Linked DNA regions of Coturnix japonica. The protein of the gene in region 1 interacts with the protein of each later gene in a biochemical or structural test. Links are inferred from orthologs where the notes say so. Each region holds a gene or a part of one and is shown on either strand. Other genes may lie near its edges.

The links.
Region 2: the proteins of LCAT (region 1) and APOA1 form a complex in vitro, tested with the Homo sapiens proteins (6 studies listed by BioGRID and IntAct, with this or other methods). The link is inferred for Coturnix japonica from reciprocal best matches to the Homo sapiens genes LCAT and APOA1.

Annotation. Positions count from the first base shown.
Region 1 is NC_029526.1:1,506,680-1,522,615, forward strand, and holds LCAT (phosphatidylcholine-sterol acyltransferase), read left to right. Parts: upstream 1-5,539; 5' UTR 5,540-5,588; coding exon 5,589-5,742; intron 5,743-8,155; coding exon 8,156-8,312; intron 8,313-8,578; coding exon 8,579-8,694; intron 8,695-9,036; coding exon 9,037-9,132; intron 9,133-9,391; coding exon 9,392-9,616; intron 9,617-10,395; coding exon 10,396-11,030; 3' UTR 11,031-11,564; downstream 11,565-15,936. Other genes in the region: C-factor-like, read left to right, coding at 3,521-3,640, 3,774-3,887; KIAA0895L (uncharacterized protein KIAA0895-like homolog), read left to right, coding at 11,979-12,410. UniProt on the Homo sapiens protein: Central enzyme in the extracellular metabolism of plasma lipoproteins.
Region 2 is NC_029539.1:4,410,801-4,426,250, reverse strand, and holds APOA1 (apolipoprotein A-I), read left to right. Parts: upstream 1-8,360; 5' UTR 8,361-8,565; intron 8,566-8,675; 5' UTR 8,676-8,688; coding exon 8,689-8,731; intron 8,732-8,932; coding exon 8,933-9,086; intron 9,087-9,313; coding exon 9,314-9,911; 3' UTR 9,912-10,063; downstream 10,064-15,450. Other genes in the region: serine/threonine-protein kinase SIK3, read left to right, coding at 1-304, 3,408-3,571, 4,272-4,404, 4,825-4,982; APOA4 (apolipoprotein A-IV), read left to right, coding at 12,023-12,071, 12,173-12,299, 12,433-13,360; APOA5 (apolipoprotein A-V), read left to right, coding at 14,871-14,919, 15,375-15,450. UniProt on the Homo sapiens protein: Participates in the reverse transport of cholesterol from tissues to the liver for excretion by promoting cholesterol efflux from tissues and by acting as a cofactor for the lecithin cholesterol acyltransferase (LCAT).

The DNA.
Region 1 (15,936 bases):
TGACCACAACAGGTTCTGATGCACACTGCGAGCCCATGGAGGGCAGCCCGTTCCCAGGGTGGTTCCACTCCTCATCTATTTCAGAACAGACTGCTCCCAACCAGAACTACTGACAAATGTCCCCCCAAGTGAGGTGGGCTGCCCAGGGCTGGGGGAAGCACGAGTGAGGTTGGTGTACAGGATGTTTCAAGGAAGGGCTCCACATGGGGGAACAGGTGGTGAGAACTTGAGTAAGACAGAGATGGGGTGAAGAGCTCTCCATCATCATGCATAGGGTGGGGTACAGGAAGAAGATGCTGCCTGTATCCATGAGTGGGCCGGGGCTGCTGGATGCCTATGAAGGCCATCTGAGTGCTTGCACTTCAAGTACCATGTACAAGATACGTGTCCTAGGGCAGGTGGAAGGTCCCTTGGACCACCCTCCATGGACAAGCATCATCAAATCCTCCTCTACCCCCTCACCTCGCTGCCACAGTATGGGAACATGGGGGCTCCCAGCACTCCATGGCACCACCCAATGGAGATCACTTTGGCAGTCACACTGATGATGCTGGCTTCTGCAGCACAGCTCCTGTGTCCCTCTGTCCTCCGCTGCCTAAGAATCAGAGATAAGGAGGAGGTTTGATTCACGATAGCGGATATAGGAATTGGTGAAGTTGGAGAATACCCTCAAGTTCACAACTCCGACCTGATTCACCCAATCCCATCACTAAACTTGGTGCCCAAGAGCCACATCATCACACCTCCTTAATATCAGCTTCACTGCCCTGCTCTGCACTCGCTTGAGCAACCCAGGATCCTTCTGGCAGTGAGGGGCCCAAAAACGAGCCCAGTCTTGGAGATGCAGTCTCAGCAGTGCCATGTACAAGGGGACAGTCAATTCCCTGCTCCTGTTGGCCGCTCTGTTTCCAACGTAGGTCAGAAACTGTTGCTGTCACTTGCTGCCCTGGCCAGCAACTGCACCAGCTCCATTGGCACAGTCTCTTAGGGCATTGTGACTTCTACCCTTCAGTAAGGCTGGCTACTGGCTGGGAGCATCGTTTTGGACAGTTCAAAGAGCAGGAGAAATTGCACCCACAGCCAAGGGTTTGCGCAAGCCCTGTGTGGGTGTGGGTGGGATGGAAGTTCAGCATGCTATAAGAAGCTTTGGAGCACTGAGCAAACAACAAGAGCTGGAGCAGAAGCAGGAGAAGCAAAACGGGGAACAGCACAGTGAAAGTCCAGCAGACCCACGGGGCATCGTGTCTCCTTCCCACCTTCTGCTTCCCATCTCCTCACCCAGCACAGCTTCTGCAGGACTTCTGCTGCTGTTAATCGATTTAGGGCTCAGGCATTACTGAACAGCAAGTTAGTAAATATAAGGCAATGTGACTTCTGCCCTACAGTAAGGCTGGCTACCAGCCAGGAGCATAATGCTGGAAAGATTAGGGCAGGTGAGATTGTACCCAGAATCTGGGTTTTGTGCAAGCCCTGTGTGGGTGTGGTGGAAGTTCAGTATGTGATAAGAAGCCTTGGAGCACCGAGCAAACAACGAGAGCTGGAGCAGAGGCAGGAGAAGCAAAATGGGAGAGCTGCGTGTCCGCTCCGTTCTGGTGACTGCGGTCCCTAAGCAGGGCATCGCCTGGGCTTGTCCACGCAAAACCTGCTGGCACTGCCAAAACCACCTGAGTGGTCTTTGCAGGCTGCCGAGGACCCCATTTGGGAGGGCATGGGGTAGCGGGGGCGCCGGGCGGTCCTCGTTCGTGAGCAAGAGCCGCTGCAGATCAGCTATTTCCGTCTTTGTTAGTTGGGTTTTGGAAAGGGGGGACAGCGAGCACAGGTAGGTGGGTGGCTGAGCTGAGGTGTGGACAGCAGGGCTGGTGCAGCGAGAGGGGAGGGTGAAGGATCATGAGATGGATGAGGAAGCTGCGCTCTGGCGCATCAGAGACATGAGCGCTGGGAGCGATGGGCAACAGGACAAGCTTGCACAGTGCCAGGGCTCCTTGGGTTTGGGCAGGGCTGCTTTCTACTGCTTCTGCCTTTATCTGTCACCTGTGCTACCAACAGCGGCAGGGGGCAAGCTGTCAAGCCGTGCTGAAAGAGTCGTGAACACTGTCGGCCTTTCCACATCAGCTGTCTTTGACAGGAGCGCAGTCAATTGGCCTCCAAGCCGCCAACCGTCATACGTCCCGCCTCGGTACGTGCCACAAGCCGCAGCCCCAAGGCTGGAAGTCCCTCACCTGAGGCTTCCCCGCTCTCTGTGGCTCGCATCTCCACAGCCCTGCTGCAGGGCTCTTCTGTCCACACTGTGGCCTGCTGGCAGAACGATTACGGGCAGCGGCACTCTACTCTCCCCACCTGCGCCTCTGCAGAGTCACCGATGCCCGCAGCATTTAAGGCGGCCGCAGCCAAGCGGTCGGGGGCGCGCTCAAGGCTCGGGGCTCAACTCCTCATCAACAACGCTGGAATCGTAAGGATAAACACAATTGACAGTGAAAACCTGAAGGACATGTCTGAAGTGTACATGACCAACACCATCGCGCTGTCCTGCTGACCAGGTAATGGCTGTCACCTCAGCTCCTTGACATCCCTTTGATGCATCCCTGAGGTTCTTAATGGGAGAAAAATGGGGCCCATGGTACAGTGCCCTCCTCTACTCTCTGCCTGCTGTCTTCTTGCCCTGGTGTTGGGTCCTTTACAATTCAGTCCCCAGTCAGGTCTCTTGCTGTCAGAAGTAGGTGCTGAAATTCAGTCCTGGAAGGCTGAGCCCAACATGCCCTTCCTGGTTGGGGGAGCACCAGGTGACAGGTATAAGAAATTGGCACTTTGAAGCCTGGGGCCATAAGATGAGATGAGAGTGCAGAGGTACGAGCCATACCGGGGTGCAGAGGATCATGACATGAATGAGGGGAACAATAATCTGCACTCTGACTTTGTGCTGAGCACTGGTGGGGCCAATTGCGTCTCCAAGCTGATCACTGAGATTGTCCAGTGTCCCTCCTTGGAGATGCTCAAGAGACATGTGGACATGGTCTTGGGCAATGGCTCTTCATGACTCTGGTTGGGTAGGAGAGGTGCAGAAATGATCTACGGAGACCTCTGCCAGCAACAACTGTCCTCTGATTCTCTACTTCTCTGATATCTCTTCTGCTATGACCTGCAATGGAGGGAAACGTGCCCTTCCAATGAGCTCTCTTGCATGCTTCTCTACCTTCTCCCAACGGCGTTCCTGCCCCCTGTTAAGAGGCAGCCAGGGGACCCAGGATCAGGGTTGAGCTGCAACAAGGCAGCCATCGTCAACATCTCCAGCACTGCTGGATCCATTCAGGACCTCTATCTGTGGCATTACGGACAAGCAGTCTCATATCGTTGCAGTAAGTACAGTCAGTCACTGGTCCCATGCCTGGTCCCAAGCCCAACCACAAAGGGCCATGTCAATACAGGTCCTTTTTGGGACTGGGCATCTGCATGGGAAGACCGTTGTGGGGTCCTTGTGATGCATCTTCTCATCCCCGCCTGATCCCTGTGCTGTCTCCCACAGGCTGCTCTCAACATGCTCACCAGGTGCCAGTCCATGGGCTACCGGGAACACGGCATCCTCTGCATCGCTTTCCATCCCGGATGGGTCAAAACAGACATGGGAGGCGATTTTGAAGATAAGGTAAGAGAGTTTCTGGCCAAGGTTTGGAAGAATCCCTTACTGTGGGAATGTGGAGCTTCCTGTGCATTGAAGGCTCCTGGGCAGGCTGGGCCCTTGGACACACATAGCCATCTTTCTCCTTCTGCCCCTGCAGACCCGCGTGACAGTGGATGAGAGCGTAGGAGGGATGCTGAAGGTGCTCTCCAACCTCTCCGACAAGGACAGCGGCTCCTTCCTGGACTGGGAAGGGAAAGTTATGGCCTGGTGAGATGCTTGCCAAGCCTCAGATTTTAATAGTCATCTCTTTGTTGCTGCATCGAGTTGTGCCTGTGTCTTAAAGAAGCTGTGACTGTAAGCAATGATTGCAGTATACGTGCAGTGCGTGAGCTGCCTTCTTGCTTTTGTTTTAGCTACAATTATCACAGTCTTCCCCAATGCTTTGAGGGAATGGCTGGGTTATTTTGCACATGACTGAGCTATGTTGGATGAACGGCCAGCTTTTGAGTAAGGGCCTGGCTGTCATCCTGGTACAGCTTTGTCCCTGCGCACAGAGGACAAAATCCCTAGTAGTCCCTATATTCCCATGTGTCCTGAAGGGATGCCATCAGGGATACGAGTGCCATATCCTTAGAGCAGAGGCAGGAATTTAAACAACAGAAGGCACACGGAGAGCTCTGCGCTGCACCAGAGGGTCTCCACTTTGAGGAAGTGCCTTTTATTCTATACAAGCCTTCAGCCCATTGAAACACAGAGTCTGCTTTGTCTTAGTGCCCTCTCCCGACAGCTGTGCAGAGCTCACAGCGGACAGCAGCTTTCAGAAGAGAAATTAAAGGTCTCGAGTCTGAGACCTCCACAGGTAACAACACAGACCGAGTCACCAGATGTCCAGTTCCCTGCTGTCACCTTGGGCTGCCCCAGTAGGTTCAGGACCTCAGCTCCATCAGCTCCCTGAGTTGTTCTCCATCCTTAAACCTGCCGTGCTGCGGGAATCCCCCCCGCTTCCAACCCACAGACACATGTACAGGGAGCCAAACCTTTTCCAGTCAGACTGTTGGGGTGTTTATGGTCTGCTGAGCTCCATCCTGGCTGAGGACGGGAAGCGAACAAGCAGAGAGAAGTCTTGTTTGAGGACAACTTTTAAGCGAACTCATTAGTGAACAGGCGCAGTGATGCAGATAGGGGGCAGCAGGACGCTTCTCTGCCTCTGCCCACCAGTTCTTCCTAATTGAGGGTGCACGAGAGGGAAAATAGGAGGCAGAGCCTGGGACAGGCTGCACGCTGCACTGTAGCGTTGCTCCAGCTCCCCTCGTTCACACTTAAAGGATAAAAGCTTCGCCTGAACAGGGGCTTGAACCCTGGACCCTCAGATTAAAAGTCTGATGCTCTCCCAACTGAGCTATCCAGGCTCACGTATGGGCATTTGGGTGATGCTCCAAACGGCCCATTGGGGACCCCACATCACCACCACCAGAAGGGTAATATGGGCATTGCTGTGCTCACACAGACTGAACTCAGAGCTCCAGCCCTGCCACGAGGTCCTGGGGAACATGAGGGGAGCACAACCCAAGGAGAGGGCCGGCAGTGATCATTCCAGGGTCATTTCTCTGCAGCAACCTCAGTTCCAACCCAAAGCACAGCAGCGGGTTTGCAGAGAGCCTGAAGTGTCCCCCTCCGGTGTCACCCGCTGCAGGCGTGCTGTGGGCACTGCCCACACGCCGCTCAGGGACACCAATGGATTTAGCCACCCGTGGGCAGGTCTCTGAGGGTACAAAGTGTCTCCGGCCACCGCAGTGTTCAACAGGGGACGGTACATTTGCAAGGCCGGGCCTTCGTCCCTCCCAGTCCCTCCTCCCCATCCCGGCCAGCCCCTTGCAGCTCTCCCCTCCCCTGCAGCCCGAGCTCCTGGACCTGCCTAAGATATAAAAGCCCGTTTGCTCCCCTTGCTGGAGGGAGCCCAGCCGAGCTGGCCATGGGGAGGACGGGAGCCGGGCTCACGCTGCTGACGCTGCTTCTAGTGCTGCTCCTGCAGCCCACGTCCCAGTTCTGGCTCTTCAACGTGCTCTTTCCACCCACCACCACCCCAGAAGCACCCCCGACCAACAGCACGCCGCCCGTGGTGCTCGGTAAGGTGACAGCTGGGGCACTTTGCCCTGCTCGGGGGGCTCTGCTGATGGAGGGGTAGGGGTTGCAACAGCCTTTGGATTGCAGCTCCGTGCTGCTGCTGCTTCTGTTCCAGTGGGATGGAGACTACCAACTCTTGCTCCCCTGCAGTTTGCCCTGTGCTTTTTGCAGTTAATTCATCCTTTGCTGTTGCAGGGTGTCTGACCCACAGCAGACAACCTTGCCTGGGCTATAGTGAGCTGGTGTGCAGCTTCTCCTTGCATCAGTGGTGCACTGAGAGGTTGGGGCATCAGCTGGGGAGGTGGGGATGGGGAGTTCTGCAGCCTGGCTGGGGTTGTTTGCAAGCTGTCAGCGTGTGGCTGCAATCTGCCTCCCTGTGCCAACACTGGCATAGGATTTTGCCAGACCTGCCCTTAGCAGGGGGGTTATTTTTCACCCTTTTCCTGACTCAGAAGGACTTTCCCTTTTAAAAAGAGAAGAGAAAAAGCAGAACATCCAAAGAATGACCCTATGAACTCCCTTCCCCATGCAGTTCTCGATGCACAGGGCAGCCTGGCATACAGCTTGGCAGAGGCAGCCATGCCCGCATCCTCTGGCACTGTGCGGTTGGATTGGCAGTGGCTGCAGCCTTGGTGGCCAGGAGGCTGTCACTATACCAGGCAGGGGATGGCACAGCACAAGTGACTTTGTGCCACTTCTCAGGATGGCGTGTGACAGCAGGAGCATCTCCACTGCCCTTCTGTGAGCCTGCAGCTTGTTCAGACCCTCAGGAAGCCTCATTCCAAGCACCCCCCGGGACCTCTTTTTCTCCCCATTCCTGCCTCTGCCTCGTGCCCCCATACCAGCCTCAACCCCTGCCCCATGCCCAGCACCCAGAGTGGGGTGTCAGGGTGGTCGAGACAGCATTTGTGTGAAGCCCATCCCCCTGGGTCTGGTATCCCAGAAACCCCCAGTGCCCTTAGGACCAATGATAACCCCTCTGCCCCCACAGGAACTCCCTTAATAATTACCTAGTGTCCTCTCTGAGGTGAGGCAGAGATCAGAACTAAGCACTGGGGTGCTGGCTGTACCAGGGGGAATAGTGAGGCAGGAGGAGGGCACCCAGCCACCCCTGGCACCCTTGGGATGCAACCTCCCACGGGGCTGCCCCATGGCACACAGGGTTACCTGCTGTCCCAGGAACTGCCACCTACTCTGCTTGCTCCAGCTCCCCAACTGAAGCCCGGGCTCTCCTGTGCCAGCATCCTCTCATGGGTGGGTAAGGATGTGCTGATCATCACCCTGTGTTGAAAGAAGGATTAGAACTTACCCATATGCACAGGTCTGAGGGAGCTGTGGAGCAGGCTGAGCAAGGCAGCCAGCATACCCCATATACCCCATTCCACTCTCATGTGCTACAATGCTTCTGCACCCCTGCAAATGCTCTGCCACACCATGGAGCTGTAGCTGTGGCAGGCGGGATCCACTAGAGCATCTCCAGACCAGGCTACCCTTGCATCCTGCTGCAGGGACACTGCTGGGGCTGCCCTTGGCACAGTGGTGGCTGCTGGGTTCAGTTCATACTCAGTGCTCCCACCCCATCAGCCTTGCAGGCACTGAGGTCTCTTTGCTTCTTATCCTTGTCCAGCCCTTTGGGACACACCTCGGACCCTTTGCAGTGGCTGGGAGCAATGACAGCAGTGAGTGTCCACTGTCCTTGCCAGGGAACCACAGGGCAGCTCCCAGAAGCAGAGCCCCGGTCACAAGGCAGGCCATGAACTTGGTTAAAATGGTGTTGTGTTTACTGTATGATATTTGCAGCTAATTCCCACAGGGAACAGTTCGGAATCATTTCAGAGACTTTGTTCAATCTACTCAGAGGGTTTAAAGTTCAGGAAAACAATGTGTGGGTGTTGGGCAGCAGCACACAGACTATTTTCACCCCGGACAGGGGTGCCTCTGCTACCCCTGGATGAACTCATGGGTGTGATGGGTAGAGCATGGCATACGGTGGGGGTGGGAGCACCAACCCCATCCCTGTGGCTGATAATAGGAGCAGAGAAACCCAGCCAAGCTTAGGGAGAAACACTGGGATGCTCCATGCTGGTTATCTCCATTCTCTTGGACCAGCGCTGGGTGAGGGCAGCAGCTTGGTGGTCCCACAGGATGCACTTTTAGCACTATTCCAATGGTTCTATGCCCAACCTGCATCTCCAAGTGCCCAAAAATGTGCTGTGCTTGGTGAGAACCAAGGCATTGGCAGGCTGTTCTCCATGAGTGCTGTTCCAGTGACATCCAGCAGCAACCAACAGCAGGTTCCTGGCTGTCCCTAGCCAGGCAGCCCCAGGGAAGTCTGTGGGTCAAGGAAGCACGAGGCCAGGCAGCTCCACAAACCGAGGTCTACCTGGCTGTAGTTTCCTTCTGTGATGCCCCCAGTGCCCGGGTGTCTTGGGAACCAGCTGGAAGCCAAACTGGACAAGCCGGATGTAGTGAACTGGATGTGCTACCGCAAAACCGAGGACTATTTCACCATCTGGCTTAACCTCAACACATTCCTGCCAGTGGGAGTTGACTGTTGGATCGATAACACCAGGTACCACTCACCCCCATCCCAGGAGCTCCCCAGGTTAATGACCTAGCAGGGATCTCCCTCCCCTCTCCTCCCTCTGTGGCCCTGACCCTGCACACACACTGTCCTTCCTGGACTCTGTGATGTGAACACAGCTCTCATCAGCCCTTTCTGAACACCTTCCCCTTTTGCCCGTCCTCAGCACCTCCTGCCGATGCTGCCAGCCTTCCCTGGGGTAGCGGGGTCAGGATATGACACAGCTGCTGCCTTCTGTCTTGTTCTCTCCGTAGGGTTGTGTACAACCGAACCGCTCGGAAAATGACCAACGCCCCCGGGGTGCACATCCGTGTGCCTGGCTTTGGCAAAACCTATTCTGTGGAGTACCTGGATCAGAGTAAACTGGCAGGTGAGAGGAGCCAGCTTTGTGGAGAGGCACGGGGTATCCAGGGCTGTCGTTCATTGCTTAACAGAAAGGAGTCCCTGTGTCCGTGGGCTTCACCCCATCTCAGTCCTGCAGAGATGATGGAGCCCAGGTCACTTGTGTGCGAAGGATGTTGGCCCCAGGACAATTCCTTCCCAGCCCCAAGTGCCGTGTTATGCCTCCAGGATGCACAGAATTGCAATCTCTGACCAGAGCAGTCAAGATACGGAGCTCAGCAGATGAAATTCCAGCCTGTGATCAAGATAAGAACAGAAAAAGGATAACAGAAGACCAAAGACATAAATCCCATCTGTTCTCTCTCTGCAGGTTACCTGCACACCCTGGTTCAGAACCTGGTGAACAATGGTTACGTGAGGGACCAAACAGTCCGGGCAGCCCCCTATGACTGGAGGGTTGGTCCCCGTAAGTCTGGGGTTGTGGCCATATCACATGTGCAGGGAGGGAGGCAGGATGGTTCCCAGTGAGCAGGTGTGGTGGTTCAGTGTGGTTTGTCATCCCTTGGACAGGGATGGCTGTCTGTGGCTGTGAGTAGCACTCACATGTGAATGTATGCAGTGGCACTTCTGGCATCTGTGCCCACACATCTCTCTGGTTGAGGCTCTTAGTGTCATCCTGGGGCTATGTGAAGCTGACCAACAGCTGGTGTCTCTCTTGTCCTCAGAGGAGCAGCCTGAATACTTCCAGAACCTGAAGGCACTGATAGAGGAGATGCACGATGAGTACCAGCAGCGTGTCTTCCTCATTGGGCACAGCATGGGCAACCTCAATGTCCTCTACTTCCTGCTCCAGCAGAAACAAGCCTGGAAAGATCAGTATATCGGGGGCTTCATCTCACTGGGTGCCCCTTGGGGAGGGTCTGTCAAGCCGTTGCGTGTCCTGGCATCAGGTGAGTGATGAGAGTGGTGAGAGATTCCCTGTGGGCAGAGGCTTCTTCATTTTCTGTCTCTCCTGCAGAAATGGAAGAGTGGCAGTGAGCAGAGACCAGACACTATGGTAGAAGAGCTGGGGGATGGACAGCTGAGGGCTAGGGATGCTCCTTGAAATCAGAACTGCCCATCCTGGGCAAAAGTAATGCCCCAGCCACACATCATGGGGCTAGAAAGGCAGATTGGGCCGTGCTCACTCGCTTCTCACTGCCTCCCCAGACAGCTGCACTACCTCTAGTAGCTGTGAGCTAGATGGACTTTTGCCCTAAGCAGTACAGCCCTTACACAGCTGAGGACATGGAGGTCCCTGTAGGGGCACACACACTGTTCTACATCACTTGCTTGCATCTGCCTGTATCTCAGAGCCCATCCCCCATAAGCTTTTATTGTTCAGGCTTCTAACTTCCTTCACCTAGTTTCTCTTTAGCCTCTTTTCAGTCCAGAAAGCCTAATGCTGACAGCCCAAGTATCTACAGATCACAAGCTGAGCCTCCAAAATGCATGGGATTCATTTAAAAACACATGCTTGCAAATTTTAACATCTGACCACTTGCATCACTCTTAGTCATCAGTTTTTCTCTGTTATCACATGGGCCAGAGACATTGTTTTTAAGGTAACTTCATTGTTGCATGGTCTTAGGACTCCAGACACACTAAAAACACCCAGGCTTGCAGGATAAGTGCAAGGATAAGTGTCCGATCTCAGCTGCCCAAGGGTGTATTTTGGTCTGTCCTGCAGGTGATAATCAGGGCATCCCACTTATGTCCAACATCAAGCTGCGTGAAGAGCAGCGTATGACCACCACCAGCCCCTGGATGTTCCCAACGAGCTTGGCCTGGCCAGAGGACCATGTTTTCATCTCCACACCCTCCTATAATTACACCTACCGGGACTACCAGCGGTTCTTCACCGATGTCAACTTGGAGGATGGTTGGTACATGTGGGAGGACATGAAGGACTTGCTGAAGGGATTACCCCCTCCTGGCGTGGACACATATTGCCTTTATGGCACAGGCTATCCCACAGTGGAGACTTACATATACGATGAGCATTTCCCTTACGAGGACCCCGTGGACATGATTTATGGTGATGGGGATGACACTGTCAACAAACGCAGTTCAGAGCTGTGCAAGCGATGGCGCAACCAGCAAAAGCAGAAAGTGCACGTCCAGGAGCTGCGAGGCATTGACCACCTCAACATGGTCTTCAGCAACCTGACGCTGACCTCCATCAATGAAATACTGCTGGGGAGCACCAAGGTTGGGGCTGGCACCAAGGAGAAAGGAGAGCCTGAGCAGACGGGTGCTCTGAGATCCAGCCCGGAGGTAGGGAGGAAAGGGCACAAAGTCTTTAAGGAGCCCAGAAAGAACTGAAGGAGGTGATGGCCAGCTTCCCTCCGTGCTTGTATCCACCAGAAGCTGGCATGAAGGGGGGAGTAAAGGACTCGGAGCTGGGTATCAATGAGAAGGAGCAAGAACAACAGCTCAGGTGGATGGGCTGGCACCCTCTTCCATTCTGATTGTCTGGGGTTTTTTTGTTGTTGTTGTTGTTTTGGGAGCAGTGATTAATTACACTTCAGAGGCTTGTCACTTCCCACTAGCGGATGGATAATTAACCACACTGCCAGCTCATTAACACCACACTCACGGATTATGGCATGTAAGCAATAGCAAGCTATCTTTAGACACTTTCAGGCCGTGGTGCCAATAGCCTCTTTTTATACAGGCCAGCCTCCATGTAAGCAAGATAGAGCTCGTAGTGCCGGGGCAGCCAAGGTGGGTAATGACAGGAGGATATAGGCACAGCTTGCAGAAGGGCCCCCGTCACACAGGCAACAAGCTGAGCCCCTGCTGCAAGACTGCCTCACAACCAGCAGATCTGCCTAATAAACGTACTTGGCTTCTACACCTCCAGCCTCCTTTGTGCAGCGTCTTCCTACACAAGCGAGGCTGGCTGATAAGCAATGTGCAATGGAAAGCTAAAGGGAGATTTAGTGCAGGTATCAGGGGAAGATGTTCCACTGGGAGGGCGGTGAGGCGCCCCAGGAGCCCTGGTACAACCAGAGCCGTGCTGAGGGCTGGGACCCGGAGCTGTGCCCCCACCCACGGCTGCTCCCACCCACGGACATCCGCCATCTTGCCGCCGCCTCACACAGGGCTGGGCTCGGCCTGGAGGGGCGGTGGGCGGGGCCTCTTTCCACGCTCCACTCCCATTGGCTGTGCGGCCGCAATGCGCGGCGCGGATTGGCTGCGTGAGGCGGCCGGCGGGCGCGGCGGGCGTGAGAGGGCAGCGGGGCCGGAGCGTTGGCCGCGCTGGAGGCGATGGTGCTGGACCCGGGGGCGGCGGGCGGGCAGGGCCGTGCCGGGCTGGGCACGCTGCCGGACCGCGATGGATCCCGGCTGTGCTCGTGTCCCTCTCCGCCGCCTCGCCCGGCGGGGTCCGCTTCGCCCCGTTGCCCGCGGGGGACCCGGCGTTTGTCGGAAACGGGCGCCGGGATGCGGCGGAGCGGCGGGAGGATTCGGGCCGCCGCCTCGTTGCCTCACATCGCGAGGGCCAGGGGCGAGGAGGGCGGCGGGGCCGGGAGGCGCAGCCCCTGCCTGCTCGTAGCGCTGCGGCCGCGGAACGTGGAGGCAGAACGGGAGCGGTTCTTCAGGGAGCGGTTCGCGTACGACCCGCAGTTCGAATACGCCGAGCCCGTGCCCGAGGCTGTGCTGGACAAGTACCGAGACGCGTCGGATCGCTTCGTGGCACAGGTGAGAGCGGGACGACGGGCATGAGGGACCTGAGGGGCCGGGAGGATGCTCGGGGGTGTTAATGTGCAGTGAGGGATGGGGGTAGTTGATTAGAGGCCTTTGCATGGGGCCCGTATGGGGCCTGTATGGGGTCTATAGGGACCTTATGGGGTCTATAGGGACCTTATGGGGTTGTGGGGTCTGTATGGGGTCTATAGGGCCCATATGGGATTGTGGAGCCTGTATGGGGTCTATGGTGCCCATATGGGGTTGTGGGACCTGTTTGGGGTCTATGGGGCCAATATGGGGTAGTGGGGTCTATGGGAAGGTAAGGAAGGTAAGACTCATTGTCATGGAGTGTGGTGATACTACAAGGGGATACAGTTCTAAAGTAGAGATTTAAATGTTAGGAAGAACTTTACTCTGAAGGCAATGAGGCCTTGGTGCATTCTGCCTATAGATGCTATGGATGCTCCATCCATGAAGGTGTCAGGGCTAGGCTGGATGGGGCCCTAGGAAGCCTGATGGATGGGAATGGTCACCCCTGTGGCAGGAGTTGGGGCTGAGTGGGTTTTCATGTCTCTTCCCACCCAACTGGTCTATGATAAGGTTTGATCCATGATCATTATCTTGGCTCTGAGATCAGCAACACCAAGTAAGGTGTTGCTGGCCATCCAGGCTGGAGCCACAGCGTGTGCCATACACAGAGGCACCCCTCTGGCCTGCTCCTTGTTATGTCTGCTGCTGTGTGACCTTGCTTTGCTTGTCATCTTCCAGGCTATTTATTGCTTTGTTTTGTTTTGCTTGTCTAAGCTCTCCTTTAATTACACATTCAACATACGCCTTCTATAGCTGATAAAAGAGTGACTCCTGGGGCTGGATCACACTCAAGCTGCCTACAGACGTGCAGCCATGGCTGGGAGCTGGCAGGGAACCCTTGCACTGTTGCTTTAGAACTGACAGACCAAGAACTGGAACATGTGCTTCATGCAAAGCAGCCCTCAGCACACAACCTGCTGGCTGAGCCTGGTTTGTTTTCTGGTAGGTGTAAAGGTTGTCCTGCGTGGCAGCACCGTTAACCCAGAATTATCAGCAAACACAGTGGATGGCAGATAGGTTGTAGGTTCCTCTTGTGTGTGTCTTTACCTCATCACTTCAGTTGCTTATAAGCAAGGCAAAAAGAGTGGGGCTCCACGATGCTCTGCCTGTAAACAGCAGCCACGTCACCTCTTGCTTCCTACTTCTCTAGAGCTCTGTTACCCAGACTGTTTGGCCTCTGTCTGTAAACAGCTTTCCAAGCAGTCAGGCATTTCCAGTGCTGTTCCTGGTATACTCTGAGTATATAAGGTATACTCTGCCCCAGATAAACTGGTGCCAGCAATGCTGTTTCAGAGGAGATGGTTGGATTGCTGTAATGACCTCAGTGTCTTTTCTTTCACTGCTTCCTGTGTGTTTGAGTCTCTGACTAATGCAGTAAATTGAATTGCTCAGGATACTTCCCCGCTCCTCTTCTGATACAGTTGGTTTACAGTGTTCTCAAATGGGAATAATTGAAGTTATTTGTCTCTGTGCATTACTTGCAATGCAATTAACTGTTCATAAGCAGTGCGAGTGCTCTCATCTTGTTCCTACACCCACTGCAAGAGATATTAGTGTTAAATATTTCTACCTGTCTTTACAAGTTCTCTACCTGTGTCATGTATCCTGGGAGAACAGGGGTTCTTCTGCCTTCTCAGTGAAGCACAGCATGTAGCAGTCAGGGGTGAGGGCTGTGGAGAGGCACTTTGTATTGAGGTGAGTGCTCAGGTGAAGGGGAGATGGGCAGGAACCCATCAGCAATGGTGGCAGTGATCCATTGCTGGCACCCTGTGCTCAGCGCCTTGTACTGATTTAACATCTGCTTGCAAGAGCAGACAAACCAGAATCAGTTCCCTGTCCTTATTCTCTGTGTTTTGAGATCGATGACCCCTTCAGTTCTGCTGAATCAGCTCTTCTGCACTGTGGAGTATTTGGGGGTTTGTTTTCTGGTGGTTTTTAGTTGCTTTGTTTTGGTGGGGGTTGTGGGTTATCTTGGTTTGGGTTTGGATTCTTGCTATTTTAGCTGGGGGCTGGTTTTGTTTGCTGGGTTGTTTGGGGGATTTTGATGTTTTTGGGAGAGCGTTTTGTTTTTCTTTGCTTTTGTTTGCAGAGGAGTTTGTTGGTTTGTTTTGTTTCCTTTTTCCTATCAGGATCCTTCTGGCCCCTCTATGGCTTATGCTATAAGGGATCAAGAAGACTGTTGGCAGCCCAGTTCCTTGGAGGCATAAGATCAGCACCAACACAGCACCAACAGCACCAACACAGGGCTTGGAGCACAGCTTGAGTGTTTGTTATCCTTTGACACATGGGCTGAGCTGGTGACAGACTCCTGCTCCCAGCCCAGACAGGCCACTGACCGGACAGGAAGGGCTGATGTGGGCTCAGCAGCTTCTCAGAGAGCAAATGTGCTATCTTAGGAATGTTGCTGTCTGTGACTTCTCTAGAAGTTGCTGTAGTACACTCCCCTTTTGTCAGCTTTGTGCACCATCTGCACCGAGTTCCTCTTTGCTTGCTGTCTTAGGGGATGGGGGACAAAGTTTTGCAGTAGATAAACAAAGGTGATAAGAAGGAATGGGCCTTTTCTTCTGCAAGCCAGCAGGAGGGGCCTTGGTGGCTCTCTCAGGTTCAGCTCGGTGCCCATCTGGTGGCTGGGGAAGGGGACTGAGCTGCTGCAAGAGCACTTGCTGAGGTGAACATGGTCATTAGCTCCTGTGAGAGGCAGAAGCAGAGCAAGGGGAGAACAGGTGTCAGATGTTAGAAGCAAGTGAGCTTCAGTAGGGAGGAAGAAGGAATGTAACCTCTGCAGGGCTCCAGCTGGTAGCTTCGGCAGTTAGCAAGGCTTTATTGTGGTAGGAGAAGGAGCAAAACTGCTGCTGGGCTCAGAGGGCTTCATTGCAGCTTCCAGTGCTGCCTGACGGGTGTGCAGGTGGAGGAGGCTTCAGATAATGCAGGGGTTCCCTCAGGGACTGACCTTGCTGAAACAGCATCAGTTGGATGAGAAAGAGGATGACAGAGCTCAGGAGGAGCAGGTAAAGTGCACGCAGCTCAGCAGTAGCGCTTTGTCCTGCAGCAGCAGATGAGCAGGTATCTTGCAGGCAGGCTTATAGGTGCAGTAAAACTGCTGAAAGGCTCCAAAACAACTACAAAGGAGTGGTTGTAGTCATCCAGTTTGGGATGTGTGTTAACAAACAGACCAGAAAGGGTCATTGCTTGCAAATGACTTCGATGCAAACTCACTTTAGGGAAAGAAACGTGCTAATAAGTGCTCATGTAGATGGTACCGTAACTTTAACTCTGATAAAATAGCATGTGCTGCTTTTATTCACATGCTGTTGTTGCAGTACCACAGTTGTGTTGAGACCCTGAAAGCAGCAGCACTGCTGCCTGAGGAAACACTCTCTGTGGGAGCTTTACTGCAGGGCATACTCGTGTGCTGGGAGGGAGCACATTTGCACTCCTGACTCTTTCA
Region 2 (15,450 bases), on another chromosome or scaffold:
TGTATCCAGCAGGTACCTGCATCAGTGCCACCACACGGATACGGACACCAGCCAGCTCTGTTCCAATCCGAGAGCATGGAGGAAGACTGTGCGTGCGAGGGCGCCAGGGACAGCTTTCCAGACAGTAAGAATTCAAATACATTGACCAAAGGTTGCCACGAGACCCCTCTGCTTGTAAATGCAGGAGGGCACGGGGACCCAGAATCTTTGCTAGGAACTGCTAATCACGTTCAGGAGCTGGGGACGCATCAATACAGACATCAGCCCGCTGCTGGATTCAGTAGGAATAAGGTGCCCAGCAGAGGTAAGGCTCAGGGCCACTCGCATGGCTGAAATGCTTTTCCATACTGGTTGCATACTGCTCGTGTTCCTACCAGAAAACACCATCCCTACCCAGCACTGCGATGGTTTCGTGACATATTTTGCATAGCACAGAATTACCTAGATTCTTTCTGGCTTCTGTGGCTATGAATTGCAGACATAGTCTCTAATAAACAGTGTTAAATAAGAACTCTGCTAGATTCTTCTCTCTGGAATGTGACCTACTTCTGTAGGCAGATAAAGGCCAGGACCATGATAGTGCTATCTCTGAACTGATGCTGGGATCTGTTGACTCGTTTCTTCTTGTTGGGGTTGAAGTACCCAGAAGAGGTTAAGTTTCTGGAAGACCTATAATGTGGTGTATTCCTTCTCATAGGGGCAGAGCTGTGAGTCCAGGCATTGCTAAAGCTTCCATAAACTTGCAGTACAAGAATGGTGATAAATGCTGCTAAGTCTGCCTTGCACTGCTCAGGCACTTTGGGAAGCAGCAGTGAGGCTGGAGCCCTGCTTTAGCTGCAAGGAGTTGATTCTAAAGGGAGCTGAAGCTTGTTGGAAACAGTTGTGCCCTTGCTGCATTAGTAGTGATGTGTTGTAAGAGAAATTCCTGCCCAAGCTATAATTACAAGCCTTCCCTGTAGGAAAAAACACAATCCTACCCCCTTGCTAAGAAGGTTTTGAATAGAGGCTTTCCAGGCTGGGCTGGGTGGATCAGTATTCACCGCAGCACTGAGCTGTACTGGTCTGAAGCCATCAACTTGCCCTTGGCACAGGGCTCCCTATTACAGGGGAGCAGTGTCCTGGGCACAGGAGGTGCTGTTTTGTTTGGGGACACAGCATGGGTTTGTTGGGAAAGTACTGGCTGGGAACAGAGTGGTGCAGAGGGCGGTGTGGGCATGCCAAGCTGTGTCCCTCAAAGCAGGGGCAGGGCCCTGCTTTTCTGAAGCCTTCCTTGATTTTGTGTTTTTGATTTCTCTCGGGCTTTAATATCCCTGTGGTATTTGTAGCACAAAAGGGAAGAGTAACTCCAGGTTTGGTGGGATTTGAAAGCTGTGCTGGTGCATTTTGAACCAGATCTGGAGCTCGCATCATAACATCTTAGACCAAAACATGCAAAATGATAAGATTTAACAGCGTCAGAAGCTAAAGTTCTGCCCCGGTACTGATGGTGCTAAAACAGGTTACACAAGGGAAAAGGACTTTAGACAACAAGACTTTGTAAATGAGTAAAAAGCAAGTAAATGTTTGCAAGTTGCATTGTGTAAGCACTTCTGACAGGGGCTGTTTGGAGGGCTCGTGTAGTAAACTGTGTTCTGAGCTGCAGCTGCTCGGAGCTTTCCTCCTGGCTTTAATAACCCACTTGGAATCTGGCCTGTGTTACTTCACTTCCAAACAAAGCAGACATGTGAGCAGCCCAAGGTACATTTCCTACAAGTCGATCCTATAAAACCTTGCTCCAAACAACCTGAATGTGCCAGTGCCACTCACTCACCTGTAGCACAGCCCAAGTGTTAGAGGTGCTGAGGGATGGCAGCAGGAGGTTTGTACCCCAGCACTGGCACTCAGGGCTTTCTGCAAGGCTGCTGTTCTCAGACACAGCTTGGGGTTTTCCAGCCATCCCCTCTGTGTTGTGGAGGAGGGACAGCTGAGAGGGCAGATATCTCCTTCCCCCCCAGCTTGTGAAATACACGTTGCTTGAGGGAGGAGTGCAGATTTGCGGGGGCTCAGCGGGATTTATGCCTTCCAAAGAGAGTGCATTGACCCCGCTTTAAAAGCCAGTTGAGCATCAGCCACAGAAGGTAACTGCAGATCATGAGAGTTTCAACCAAATCTGTGGTTAGGGTATGACTAAACCGCATTGGAGCAGCTCAGCTTCAGGCTTGTTCCAACCTGGGGTCGGGAGCGCTGCCCGTGGGAAACCTTTCCCCAGCACTTGGGAGCCGGGTGCCAGCATCACATGCACTGACACAAAGGCTGCCTGGGATGAAAGGGTCCAGAGTGGGGCAGGGGCAAGGGAAGCAGCCTGTGCTCAGGGCTCCTCACTGCTCCCTGCTTCTGGCAATGCCTGCCCCGACCATTCCCACAGTTGGAAGGGCCCCGAGCGCTGCGTGGGCGGCCCTGCACTGCCAGCACTGCCTTACCTCATGTTTTCCTTCTTGCTTTCCGGGAATGCTGACCATTAACTGAGTTTAACCCCACAGATGTGCAGGAGGAAGGAGGCTGGCTGCGTTCCGGCTGCTGGCTGGGCTTTGGGGGCTGGGAGCTCAATGCCTGGCTGCTGGGAAGGATGCTCTAGCAGTGCTGTCTCCATGCTGGGGAGCAGCGTGGGGTGCTCAGGGTATGACAGTCCCAGCCAGTAGTGTCTCACTGCTGGCACAACCAGGGGTTGCTTCCTGCTGACCATTCCATGCAAACCTGATATCTGCTGTTGGGATCCACCTGAGGCCGTGTCACATCAGGGCAGCTCCCAAGGGCCTGTGGCCTCATCCATATGTTTGTGCTCTTTGGGACTGCTCACCAAGAGGGAATTGTTTACGTGCAGCACAGCCTGCAATAGGCTTCTCCATAGCTCAGGACTTTATTCAAAACATCGTGTACTTAATGACGATAGGTTCTGCTGGATAGGAATGTAGCCTTTACCCTCGGTCATAAGAGCTTGCGGTGCAGATGGACTTTGCCAGGCAGAATGCTCTTGTACTCCTACGGCCAGATTGGAGGAGGGCAGGGAGAAGTCATCTGATAACAACTACTATCCTAGCAGCTTTTCCAGCCAGATCTGTTGCATACAATTACCAAGGGGCCCTGCTAAGAACATCCTGTGTCGGAGGTGGGGGGGACCCTTCTCCTTCTCTTGTGTAATGTGAGCAATGCATGGAGGAGGGTGCAGGGCTGGAGGGGAGGCAGATGGAGGCTGCTGCAGGAGCAGGGAGGCCTGTGGGCCATGCAGAGAGCCCCAGTGCTGCAGCGTTTGAGCCAGAGCAGCCAGCAAGCTGCAAGTGACACTGGCTTGTGCTGCGGTGCCATGTGTTGCCAAGAGCAACTGGTTCCTTGTGCTAATGTGATGCTTTTCTGTTTCATCTGATTTCAAGAGTCCGTCGTAGGGAACTGTATGGACAGGAGCTCCCCGGGCCAAGCCATGCAGGTGCCTGACCACAACGGGCTGGGCTACCCAGCACGGCCAGCATCCAGCGAGCACCCGCGGCCCCGCACCCTGCAGAGACATCACACCATCCAGAACAGTGATGATGCCTACGTAAGTGGGAAGAGTCCTGTGCCCAGCAGCTTTGGGTTATGGAAGAGGTACCACAAAAGAAAGGCAGCACCCTGCTCTGCAGGGCTGCTAGGGATGAATTGCTGTTGGGACTCAGCAGTCAGCACCCCCATTTTGCTTAATCCTGAAAGCATTTTAGCAGAGACCAATGTGGAATTTCTCCTCTGCTCATGTGTTGCCTGATTTGTCCCAGTGCTGGCTGTGTTATTCCTTTTGTCCCCAGGGTGTTTCTGATGAAACTATTTGCACTGCCCCAGGCTTGGCTCTGGCTGCAGTAGTTTTACAGATGCACAGAGCCCAGCTTTCAGCTCTGCAGTGTGCTCAGTGACCTGGGCCACGCCAAGAGCAAAGAGCAGCTGCTCTGCTTTCTGCATTTTGGACCTCTCAGAACAATCAGACCCAGATTGTGGCATGTTTCTTGCTACAGCTTCCTACTGCTGTAGAGCAGAGCTTTTCCCTAACTATTGATAGTATAATATAAGTCTATAAGGGGGTTGAGTTGTCCATTCGTTCCATATTGAGGTGACATTGGCTGTACCTACACTGTCCCTGATGTGTACTCTTGTACTCTGAAGCCTTTGCTGAAGGCTGGCAGAAACTCCCTGTGCAGCTGTCAGAGATAGCCAGGGAAGCTGCTTGCAGGTGCCTGGCTCTGGTCCCACTTTGATTTGTGTCTCCTCAGGTGCAGTTAGATAACCTGCCTGGGATGAGCTTAATGGCTGGAAAAGCACTCAGCTCTGCTCGGATGTCTGATGCCGTCCTCAGCCAGTCGTCGCTCATGGCCAGCCAACAGCTGCGTGACAGGGAGAGTGAGGGTAAGGACCTGGCCAGCTGCAGACATGGCGTGGGCACTGCATGGGGGTAAGGAGCTGTAAGGACCTGCATTGTTCTGACAGCCTGCATTGCAAAGCCACCTCGGCTGCCAGTGAGCTCTGCAGGGATGGAAGGGTTAGCTGTCACCTGTGGGATCAAAGCCTCCTCAATGCTGTTTGCATGAACTGAATTAAAGAGAGTCTCTTGGATTTCTCACTGCACTTGAGGCTTGGGTGCCGCAGCCATCTCCAGCTCTAACATGTTTTGGGTACAAACCTGTGACAGTCTGTAGAGCTCTGTGCTTGGGTGCTGCTGAGCTTGTGACAGCAGTGAACTGGGCTTCCTGCTGGCCTGAGCCACCTGCAGAAGCTGCAGCTCCTCAGTGCTCCTAATGCAAACCCTGATGTTCTTTGATGTTACAGAATGCGGAGAAAGTTTGGAAGGTCAAGAGCATCCCAACCTAGGTGATGGCAACCAGCATCTAAACACCTCTTGTTACCCATCGACATGTATCACAGATGTCCTACTGAGCTACAAGCACCCGGAGGTGCCCTTTGGGATGGAGCAGGCAGGGGTGTAACCAGGAGGGAGTGAGTATCGGTGTCCTCCTTTTCTCTTCAGCTGCACATCTGGGCTCTCCTGGATGGCAGCTCTGAAGCTGCCTGACTTTGTCCATCTCCTTCCCCACCCTTTTGCTCTAGCATTGGTTCAGGGCTGGAGGAGAGACCCTCAGCTCTGAGCTCCTTCTGTTGGATGTCCCTTCTGTGTGCTCAGGGCCCTCTTTTGTGCCTTTGCTGTCCTTCCAGAGCCATGTTTTGTTGGTGTGGGCTCTGCTCTGGGCTCTGCCCTGCGGGTTTGGGCTGGGAATGGGCTGTGGGAGCAGGATTGCTGTTCTCTGGTATCTCCTAACACATCTCTGCTTCTCTCTGTTTCAGGTTTTATGTACAGCTTTGAAATGAAAAAGGTCCATTTTAAACCAACAGTATCTAGCAGCATTGCGCCAAATTGCCGTAGTATTTCTGACTAACTGGAATACCATGGCCCCTTTCCTCATAATCACTTCATCCAGTGTGTTGTTCCTTTGGTTCCTTTAATTTTTATATATATATATATATTTTTTGCCGTATTTGCCTGTAACTCCCAGCTATCACCGAAAGAACCGGAGAACCCCAAATCCTACACGTCAGCGGAGCCCCGAGCACTGAGCCTGGTCTGGAGGGCTGCGAGCATCCAGGGTAGGGGGCTGGCACTCAGAGCAGAGCCCACGGAGCCTGCAAGGCAGGCAGGAACCTGCAGCGCATCCCTGCCCCCCTCTGCTGGCTCCTGAGCAGGGCGCAGTGCCCACCCCCCTCCCCGCAGCGCTCACCTCCCGCCTGCCTGCAGAGCGCCTGCCCTGGTGCAATATGTCTCATCTCTGTCTGCTTTCGTTCCTCACTTTGGCACTGTGCTAAACAGGATCACTTCTATCCCTTCCCCAAAACCAAAACCCCCTTTTTTTGGATGTTTTTCATTTCTAACCCCCCACGTGATTTTCTTCTTTTCCTCCTTGGCTTAATGTAGGGAAGACAGATTTTCCCCCTTTCTTTTCGGAGCTTTTCCTCCCGATCATCAAGGAATCCTTTTTATTTTGGGAAATGTTGTTTTATTATTATTGTTATTAATAAAAGGCAAAAGGAATTTCTGTTTGAGAGACCTTTTTACCTGGATTCTGTTCTTACACCCATTGTGACTTGCACTTTTGTTCCGAGTGTTTGCTTTCTTTTCATGCCGTTGTAATTGTGACTTGGTTTTTCTTCTCTTGTGCCCGTGGCAAATTGGTGTCCTCCTCTACGCGGTTCAGATACGCAGAGATCTCTTCTCTGTTCTTCTTTTTGCTCTTTCCTTGGCTGAGAGAAAGCAAAGCCTCCCCTTTCCCTCCCCCTCCATCATCCAGGCTATGGGGAGAGCTTGGCGTCACCGTCACCCTTTGGGACTTTTGAAGCTCCACCTGGAAATTCTTCTTAATGACACTTTTGGAATATTTAAGACATAGATATCTAATAATAATAAAAGGATTGACCCAGACCTCCTGAATTTTGCACAGAAGGAAGTGTGAAACCAGCATGGCAGAGCTACATTCGCTATGGGCTACCAATGCCTCCCCCCATATCCCCATCCCTTGGTCCCCAGGAAAGTGATGCTCAATGCAGTCTGGAGAGCTGGAGAGGAGGAAAAGCCCACAGCACCGAGCTGAAGCTGGTGATATGGGAGGGAAGGGGCTGGGAGGCACCAGGAGGCACCAAAAACCTTTTTGCTCTGTACCTTTGGTTTGTTTTCCTTTCATTTACACTGTTTATTCCTGGGAGAGGTGGCCGCCCTACAGTCAGCACCCAGCGGGGGGACTTCGCTTCTAACCGTGCCATTTCGACGTATCACCTTTGGGTTTTGGGTTTGGTTTCTTTTCATCATGGCTTTGTATTGCAGTAATCGATACGCGCAGTGTATGTTGAATGTAGATGAAAATACTTTGCTATTCTTTCTGGGTTTTTGGAAATGTCAGAAGTTATTATTTTTCCCCCTTCATTTATGTCAGACTAAAAATTAAGATATATAAAAAAAAAAAAAAGAGGAAAAACCCGAAGTTTTGGTAAATCTTCAGTCCATTTTTTTGGTTGGGTGTTATTTTTTTTGGGGGGGTGGGGGTTGATTTCTTTTGGCGGGTCACTTGCAACGCGTCGATTGGTCGGACGGTGGGATCATGGCAAATAAAACCATGCTGGTGATCTTCCCTGGCTTCTCTGTTTGCCTTGTTGCTCAATGCCGGGGGTGGATGGGGGCCACAGGGCTGCCCAGCAGAGCAGCATGTGCTGTGCTGACCCCATAGGTCACCAAACCACCCCATCGGGTGCACCCTGCCAAAGCCCGGCTTCCCTCTGAGCCCTGATGGGAAAGACCTTGAGCTGCAGCCGGGGGAGGAGGGCTGGGAGAGAGGAGCTGCTCCTGGTGGTGGGCTGAGGGGCTGGGGGTGTGGATGTGGGCACAGCAAGTGTGTGCGGGGCTGCACCAGAGCTGAGAGTGTCACTGCTCAATGAGCAGCTGCCCCGTGGCATTAACCAACCCAACCAACCCAACCCCAACCAGCCCAACACTAACGAACCCAACCCTAACTAACCAAGACATTAACTAGGCCAACACTAGCCAACCCAGCACTAACTAACTCAATACTAACCAGCCCAACACTAACGAACCCAACCCTAACCAACCAAGCCATTAACCAGCCCAACACTAACCAACCAAGCCATTAACCAGCCCAACACTAACCAGCCCAGCCATTAACCAGCCTACCCACTACCCAACCTGTCCACTACCCAATGCATCTGTTAACCAACCTATCCACTAATCCACCCATCCACTAACCAGCCAAGCCATTAACCACCCCATCCACTAACCGGTGTATCCACTAACCAACCCACCCACTAACCAGCCCATCTGTTTGTGCCCGTGGGACCTGGGGGCCATGCCCATGTCTGTGTCCCCAACTCAGCCTCCTTCGGGCTCAGCCCTGGTGCTGGTGGGACAATGTTCATGTGATGTGGGGTGGCCGTGCTGCAGATGCTGTTTGCTCTGTGCTGAGCCTGTGCCCCACCGCCCGGCTCCGTGTTGACAGCAGCGGGCACACAGCAGCCTCAGGGCACCGCTCGGTCCCTCCGCTTTGGGGGCACGGCGGGACGCGGGCAGGGTGTTGTGGGGGGGGGTCTCCATCTATGGGAAGGATGCGGGGGGGACTCACGGGGGTGACGGGAGGAGAACGAAGGGTTGGGGTCCGGGCGGCCAAATCCCTGCGGGTATAAACCCGGTGCCCGGGCTCTTGGCCAATCCCCGGGGGCTGCCTGGAATCTGGGTCACCCGCAGCGTAAACATCTCCTTGGCCAACTCCGCATCCCCAGGGAGCTCCTGTTTGCTCGAGGCTCTGCCAGACCGGCGCTCCTTGGCTCTCTGTCCCGGGCCGTGCACACGATCCTTGAACTCTACGCGCCACATCGGCCGCGTCGGGGAGTGATTTCTTGGGCTGCAGCGCTGCCTTATCTCCTGCGGGAACTGCCCCTCCTGCATAAATAGCGGCGGTGGGGAAGCTGCGGGCTCACACGGGACGAGCAGAGCGGAGCAGCGTCAGGACAGAGCCGGTAAGAGCCCGAGCTGTGAGCCGGGACCCCCCTTCCCACCCCGCAGCACCGGGCTCGGAGCCGGTCCTGCTCAGGGCTTCCTTGAGCCCAACTTCTCGCTCTGCCCTCAGGTTCAGCCCGAAGATGAGAGGCGTGCTGGTGACCCTCGCTGTGCTCTTCTTGACGGGTACGTCCCAACAGGGCTGAGCCCCTTGTGGGCGATGCAGAGCGCGATCCCGAAGCGCTCCGTGCAATTAAACCGCAGCCAAGCGCTCCCCGGAGCCTGCAGCGCCCCATCGGTGGGGCTCCGACCCACAGCTCCCGGGCACGGCAGTGCAGTGGGATCCCCCCCATCTGCCCGTCCCCAACGCTCTGTCTGTCCCTGCAGGCACCCAGGCCCGCTCCTTCTGGCAGCACGATGACCCCCAGACACCCCTGGACCGCATTCGGGATATGTTGGACGTCTACCTGGAGACGGTGAAGGCCAGTGGCAAGGATGCCATCTCCCAGTTCGAGTCCTCTGCTGTGGGCAAACAGCTTGAGTAAGTGGGGAGATGCGTGGTGCTGTCCCTGTCTCCATGTCCCCATGTCCCCATATCTCCATATCCCCATATCCCCCTATCCCACTATCCCCATGTCCCTATGTGCTGTGTTCCCATGTCCCAATGTCCCCACGTCCCCATCTCTCCATGTTTCCACATCCTGTGGCTCTATGTTCCCACATCCCCACGTCCCCACCCCACATCTGACCCCGTACTGCTCTCCCCAGCCTGAAGCTGGCTGACAACCTGGACACGCTGAGTGCTGCAGCTGCCAAACTGCGTGAGGACATGACTCCCTACTACAGGGAGGTGCGCGAGATGTGGCTGAAGGACACTGAAGCTCTTCGTGCTGAGCTGACCAAGGACCTGGAAGAGGTGAAGGAGAAGATCCGACCCTTCCTGGACCAGTTCTCTGCCAAGTGGACCGAGGAGGTGGAGCAGTACCGCCAGCGCCTGGCGCCCGTGGCTCAGGAGCTGAAGGATCTGACCAAGCAGAAGGTGGAGCTGATGCAGGCCAAGCTGACCCCAGTGGCCGAGGAGGTTCGGGATCGTCTGCGTGAGCAAGTGGAGGAGCTGCGCAAGAACCTGGCGCCGTACAGCAGCGAGTTGAGGCAGAAGCTGAGCCAGAAGCTGGAGGAGATCCGTGAGAGGGGCATCCCTCAGGCTTCCGAGTACCAGGCCAAGGTGGTGGAGCAGCTCAGCAACCTGCGTGAGAAGATGACGCCTCTGGTGCAGGAATTCAAGGAGCGCCTCACCCCCTATGCTGAGAACCTCAAGAACCGCTTGATCGACCTCCTGGATGAAGTCCAGAAGACCATGGCCTGAGCTGCTGGCCCAGGGACTGAGCCCAGGCCATGCCGGCCCCCAGGAGACCCCTCCTTACCCTCCTCTATCTCCCACCCCCACCCCGACCCGGAGTCCGTCTCAGCTTTGCCATTCTTTTGTCAAATAAACGTGACTTAAGTTATTGGAGCTCACTCAGTCTTTGCAGTGGATGCTGGGGATCTAAGCCATAAGTGGGGATGGGCCCTTTGGCACCCCCTTAGGGTGGGAGGCTGCAGGGTGGGGAGCTGGGTTAGTGTTGGCTTAGGGTTTGCTGATGCCCATAGTGCCAGTCCCAGCTCTGCTCAGGATGTGGTCACAGTGATGCTGGGCTGGGAGCTCCCCATGTGCCACCAGCTTTGTGCTGAGCACCTCAAGAACACAACCCTGGGCTGGGGGTCAGCTGGGTGTCAGATGGACACCATGCTCACATTGGGGTTACACACCCCATCACCACCCCACACACATGGTGCAGCGCTGTGCTCAGCACCCCAGCCCTCCTCCATTACACCCCCCCCCCAACAACACCGCAGGGACAGAAGCCATCTCACTCCAGCTCCACTTTATTGCAAGAACCACAACAGAAAGGAAATGTTGTGTTGATGAATATGATTTAGTCGGGAAGTATTGGGAATGGTTGGACTAGATGATCTTCTAGGTCTTTTCCAACCTTGATAATTCTGTGATTCTGTGAAATGCTGCTGTGTATGGGATGGGGAGCAGGACCCCCCACCAGCCCACAGCCGGGCTATGCGCTTGGTGTCTGCTTCAAGAGCGCGGTCACCTGCTCCCTCAGCTGCGCCAGCTGCTGCTTCACCACGTTGGTGTTGTCTGACAGCCATGTCCTGCAAAGGGACCACATCAGAGCAGGGTCTCAGCTCCGCTCCCCCTGACCCGTGCCATCCCTATCACCAGGGGCACACTGGGGGTCACTGGGGTACGAGGTGCTGGTGGGGGCACACGGCCTCACCTGGCTTGCTGAGCTGCATCTGACTCACGCATTATGGTCATGGCAGTCTTGACTGCCTCGGTGGCTTCCTTGATGAGCTCCTGCATCTTCTTCATCACCGCCTCTTTCTTATCGGGAGCATCAGCCCCTGCAAAGCACACAGAGCGTGGGCATGGTGCACCCCAAACCCCCACTGACCCCTCACTCCCCATCACCCTTACGTGCTCCCACTGCCAGGATGGCCACAAAGGTGAACAGGAGTAGGATGGAGACCCTCATGGCTGGGGAGAGAGCAGAGCACATGGTGTGGGGTCAGATGTGACTCCCAGACCCATCCCCTGGATCCCTGGTGTTGGTCCCGGTCCTGGGGGCCCCGCACTCACCTGGCTACGCTGTGCTTTGCCTCCGCGCAGTGGGGGCTGCTCTGAGTTCCCATTATATACCCTCCCCAGAGGCCGCATGTTCAAAGGTCAGTGGTGGTGCGACCGCAGGCAGGGTGCCCATTCCCGAATCCCTTTCCCCGCTGCCAGCTTTTATTTGGATGGGCTCCTCTGCTCCCCCAGAAGGGGTTGAGAAATCCCCAAGGGCCAAGGCCGGGGGCTGTGCATGCGTGTCTGCACACACGTGTGAGGGGTGGGGGCGGCTGCGGGGCACATACAGCACAAGGGTGACATCCAGTGGCACCCACTGCAAGCCAAGCATGGGATGCTGCGGGGTGGTGGGCTGCAAAAGCAGGGGGGTGGGTGGCAGTGCCAAGCTGCGTCCTCAACTCCAAACACCCCGAGATGGGGTCACAGCCATGTCTCCCCACACCTCCCCATCACCCTGTCGGCAACACCATGCACCCCATGGCACGTCTCCTCCTGCTCCATCTCCATCCTGCTCCGATAGAGTCCCAGCCCCACGTGCCCCCTGCCCTCTGCAGGCCATACCCACTCCCCCTGGCAGTGTTGCCCCCTGGCACCCCGCCGGGCTCCGCGGTGATCTCAGCTCTGCGCTCACGTCAGGCGCTTCCACGTCGCGACCTTGCTAAAGTCCAAGCTGCGGTGCGGGGCTGCGTGGAACCCGGCGTGGCTGCTCAGGTGCATAAATAGCGGCGGGTGCTGCTGCACGGCAGGAACCACAGCACACAGCAGAGCACAGAGCATCGCTGGCAGCACTCAGGATGTCGCTGAAAGGGGCCGCCTTCCTCTTGCTGCTCCTGGTTGTGGCAGGTGAGGCAGCTCCCATCCCATTGGGGGTGGTGGGGCTGAGATGTGGCTGTGCCTTGGGGTGGGATGGAGGTAGATCTGACCTCATATCTCTGTGCCTGCAGGGACACGGGCCGATGTCAGCCCTGACCAGGTGGCCACTGTGATCTGGAAGTACTTCACCGAGCTGGGCAGCAATGCCAAGGAGACCGCGGACCAACTGCAGCAAGCTGAGATCACCAAGCAGCTCAAGTGAGTGCAGGGACCACCGAGGGCTGTGGGCATGGGAGGGCACAGGGTGCTGGGAGATGGGAATTGGACGCAGGGCACCCAGCAATGGGTGCTGGGTGCTGGACACAGGGCACTGACTGCCCGCTCTCCACAGCACCCTGCTGCAGAGCAACCTGCAGAGCATGAACTCCTACGCCAAGGAGCTGCAGCGGAGCCTGGTGCCCTTTGCCACGGAGCTGCAGGCACAGCTGGTGCAGGACTCGCAGCGGCTGAAGGAGCAGATCCAACGCGAGCTGGCCGAGCTGCAGGCCAAGCTGGCTCCCTATGCTGACGAGGTGCACCAGCAGATCGGCACCAACATCCGTGAGCTGCAGGCCAAGCTCAGCCCATACGCCGATGAGCTGCGCTCGCAGGTGGACCGCGGCACCGGGGAGCTGAGGAAGGCGCTGGAGCCCTTTGCCACCGAGCTGAGGGAGAGGCTGCAGGACAACGCAGGCAGCATCCAGGCCTCTCTGGGCTCCTTCTCTGAGCGGCTGCAGCAGAAGATTGACAGCAGCGTGGAGGGGCTGAAGGGGCAGCTGACACCCCTGGCTGATGATCTGAAGGAGCAGGTGGCACAGAGCGTGGAGGGGCTGCGCAAGGGGCTCAGCCCTTATGCCCAGGAGGTGCAGGACGGCCTGAACCGGCAGCTGGAGAGTCTCACCATGCAGATGGAGCGGGTGGCCGAGGAGCTGCGCTCCCGCCTGGCTGCCAGCTCGGAGGAGATGCGTGCCCAGCTCAGCTCGCAGGCCCAGGAGCTGCAGCAGGCGCTGGGTGGAGATGCTGAGGCCGTGAGGCAGAGGCTGAACCTGCTGGCACAGCAGCTGGATGAACGCCTGGTGCAGACGGTGGAGGCGTTCCGGCAGCAAGTGGCCCCCACCAGCGAGACCTTTGGGCAGCAGCTGGTGAAGAGGCTGGAGGAGATGAAGCAGAAGCTGGAATCGGGCACTGCAGGTGTGGAGGATCACCTGGACCTCCTGGAGAAGGAAGTGAAGGAGAAGGTGGCCACCTTCCTCAGCACCATGGAGCAGGCAGAGAGCTGAGCCCTCCCTGCCATTCAGAGCACTCACAGCTTCTCCCTATGGCAGAAATAAACTGGCACTTTGTGATGCACCCTGTGGTCCGTGTCTGTCCTTCTGCATCCATCCTGGCCTATGGGTGACCCCCAAATTTGGGTCCCAGGGAGCCCGAAATGGAGCATGGGATGTCACTGTATCATGGTCTCAGTGGTACATGGGCTCCCCTGGGGCTCTGGTGGGGAAGGCATAAACCTGAGCACCCCACTCCCCATGGCCGGGCCTCAGCAGAACCCCAACCCTGGCAGGTGCTCTGCAGCTCTGCACTGCCCTGCTCCAGCCCATTGCCCCCAGCAGGATCCCAGCTCCTGGCCCCAGAGCCCATTAAGGATGGGCGATATGAGATGGGGTGCTGCACATTGGCAGAGTACCCCCAGAGGTGACCCCACATGCAGAGGTGTTTGCACAGAGAAGGGAACAAGGCTGCACTTTGGCCCCCAGCCCCAGCCCCATCCGGATGGAGGCGGCCCTGGAGGTGCCTGGTCCCAGCAGGTCTGCTCCTGCCCCTGTTTGCTGGGTTGCTTTAGAGCAAACATTTCAAAGCCCGGGGTCAGCAGTCAGGCAGGAGCAGCCCCACAGCAGCCCATGCAATGGGCACCCTTATGTACAAAAAGAGGTACAAGAGCTGCACAAGAGCACTGGGGTGAAAGAAATACACAAAACCACTGAGCCTTTGGCATTCTATAGGGAAGTAGCTGCTCACAATTTGCAGACAACCAGCCCACATCCCATGGGGCACTCTCTGGTCCGGGCACTCCCTGCTCTGCTCTCCCATTTCCCACACAACAGACCCCTCATCCCATGCACAAGGATTTTGCTCCACGATACAAAGGTCAGATGGGAGCGAAGGTCAGCTCCATCCCGAGAAATCCACAGAGCAAACAGTGAGGGCCCATTTATCACTGGAACAACAAAAAACACGAACAATCTGCCCGCTGGGAGATGCTGGCGGAGCAGGGAGGGCTCACTGCAGCCCTGGGGGTTAAGGTCAGGCTGGATGACCACGGTCTGGCTGGTGCAGGGCACGTGCAGCAGTCAGGTGATGGGCATTCACGTCATCCCCCAGGCACGCTGCTGAACCTCCACGTTGTATTTACATGGAGTGAGGTCCAAAAAGCCTTCCCCTGTGGATGCGCTTATCTCAGAGCTCTTCTGCCGCCCGCAGATGGGTTATATAAAGTGAGCCCGTGCCTGGCTGCAGCAAGAGGTGAGAGCAGCCAGGTGCAGGGCAGAGGTGCAGCCTCGCTGTGCTCCCTGTGCTGGGGACACTTTGGCCTCTGGCAGAACGTGTCTGACCTTGCTGGGCAGCCCCACTCAGGAGCAGTACTACTCCAGACCCCAGAAGCGAGGTAAAATTGGGGAGTGAAATACAGGGATGGATAATGGCCCACGGGACAGAGACCTGCACTGCGGCATGAATTAACGCTCCCCTTCTCTCTTTCTCTTGCAGAGTTGCAGCTCGCTGGCCCAGCAGATCATGTCGTTGAAGGCTGCACTTCTGCTCACCCTCCTGGCCACCCTGCCAGGTTGGTGTCTGTGTAGCTCCAGGCTGCCCAGTGGCACAGAGATGGGGTGGAAAAGGGGTATGGGGGAGCAGAGGCGGCCACTACTCACATGGCACAGCTGCTCTGGCCCCGTGATGGGTTTCTAAGTCCCCTTGAACCAATGCCATGATCACTGTGTGCCAACCTGTCCCCATCCTCCTGCCACCTGGTGACTCAGAGTGATTCATCAGTGGGGCAGGTGGTGGCTGCTGTGGGCACAGGGGTCGTGCAGGAGCACAAAGCCCTGCTGGCTGCATCCCTCAGCCACTTCAGGGCTGGCTTCCCAGGTGACACAGAACTGGTAGAACATGATGAAGCCCAACAGCATCCCCACCCCAAACCCACATTCAACCACCCCAACTGTTCTGTTTCCCTTTGCTCTGTATCTCCTGGTCTGTGGGCTGCTCCAGTAATAACCACTGCCCTTCTCCTTGCAGTGTCACCAGCCGAGCTGGCACGGAGTGGCTTCTGGGAGTACCTCAGCCAGCTGACAAGTGACAAGGACAGCCTAGA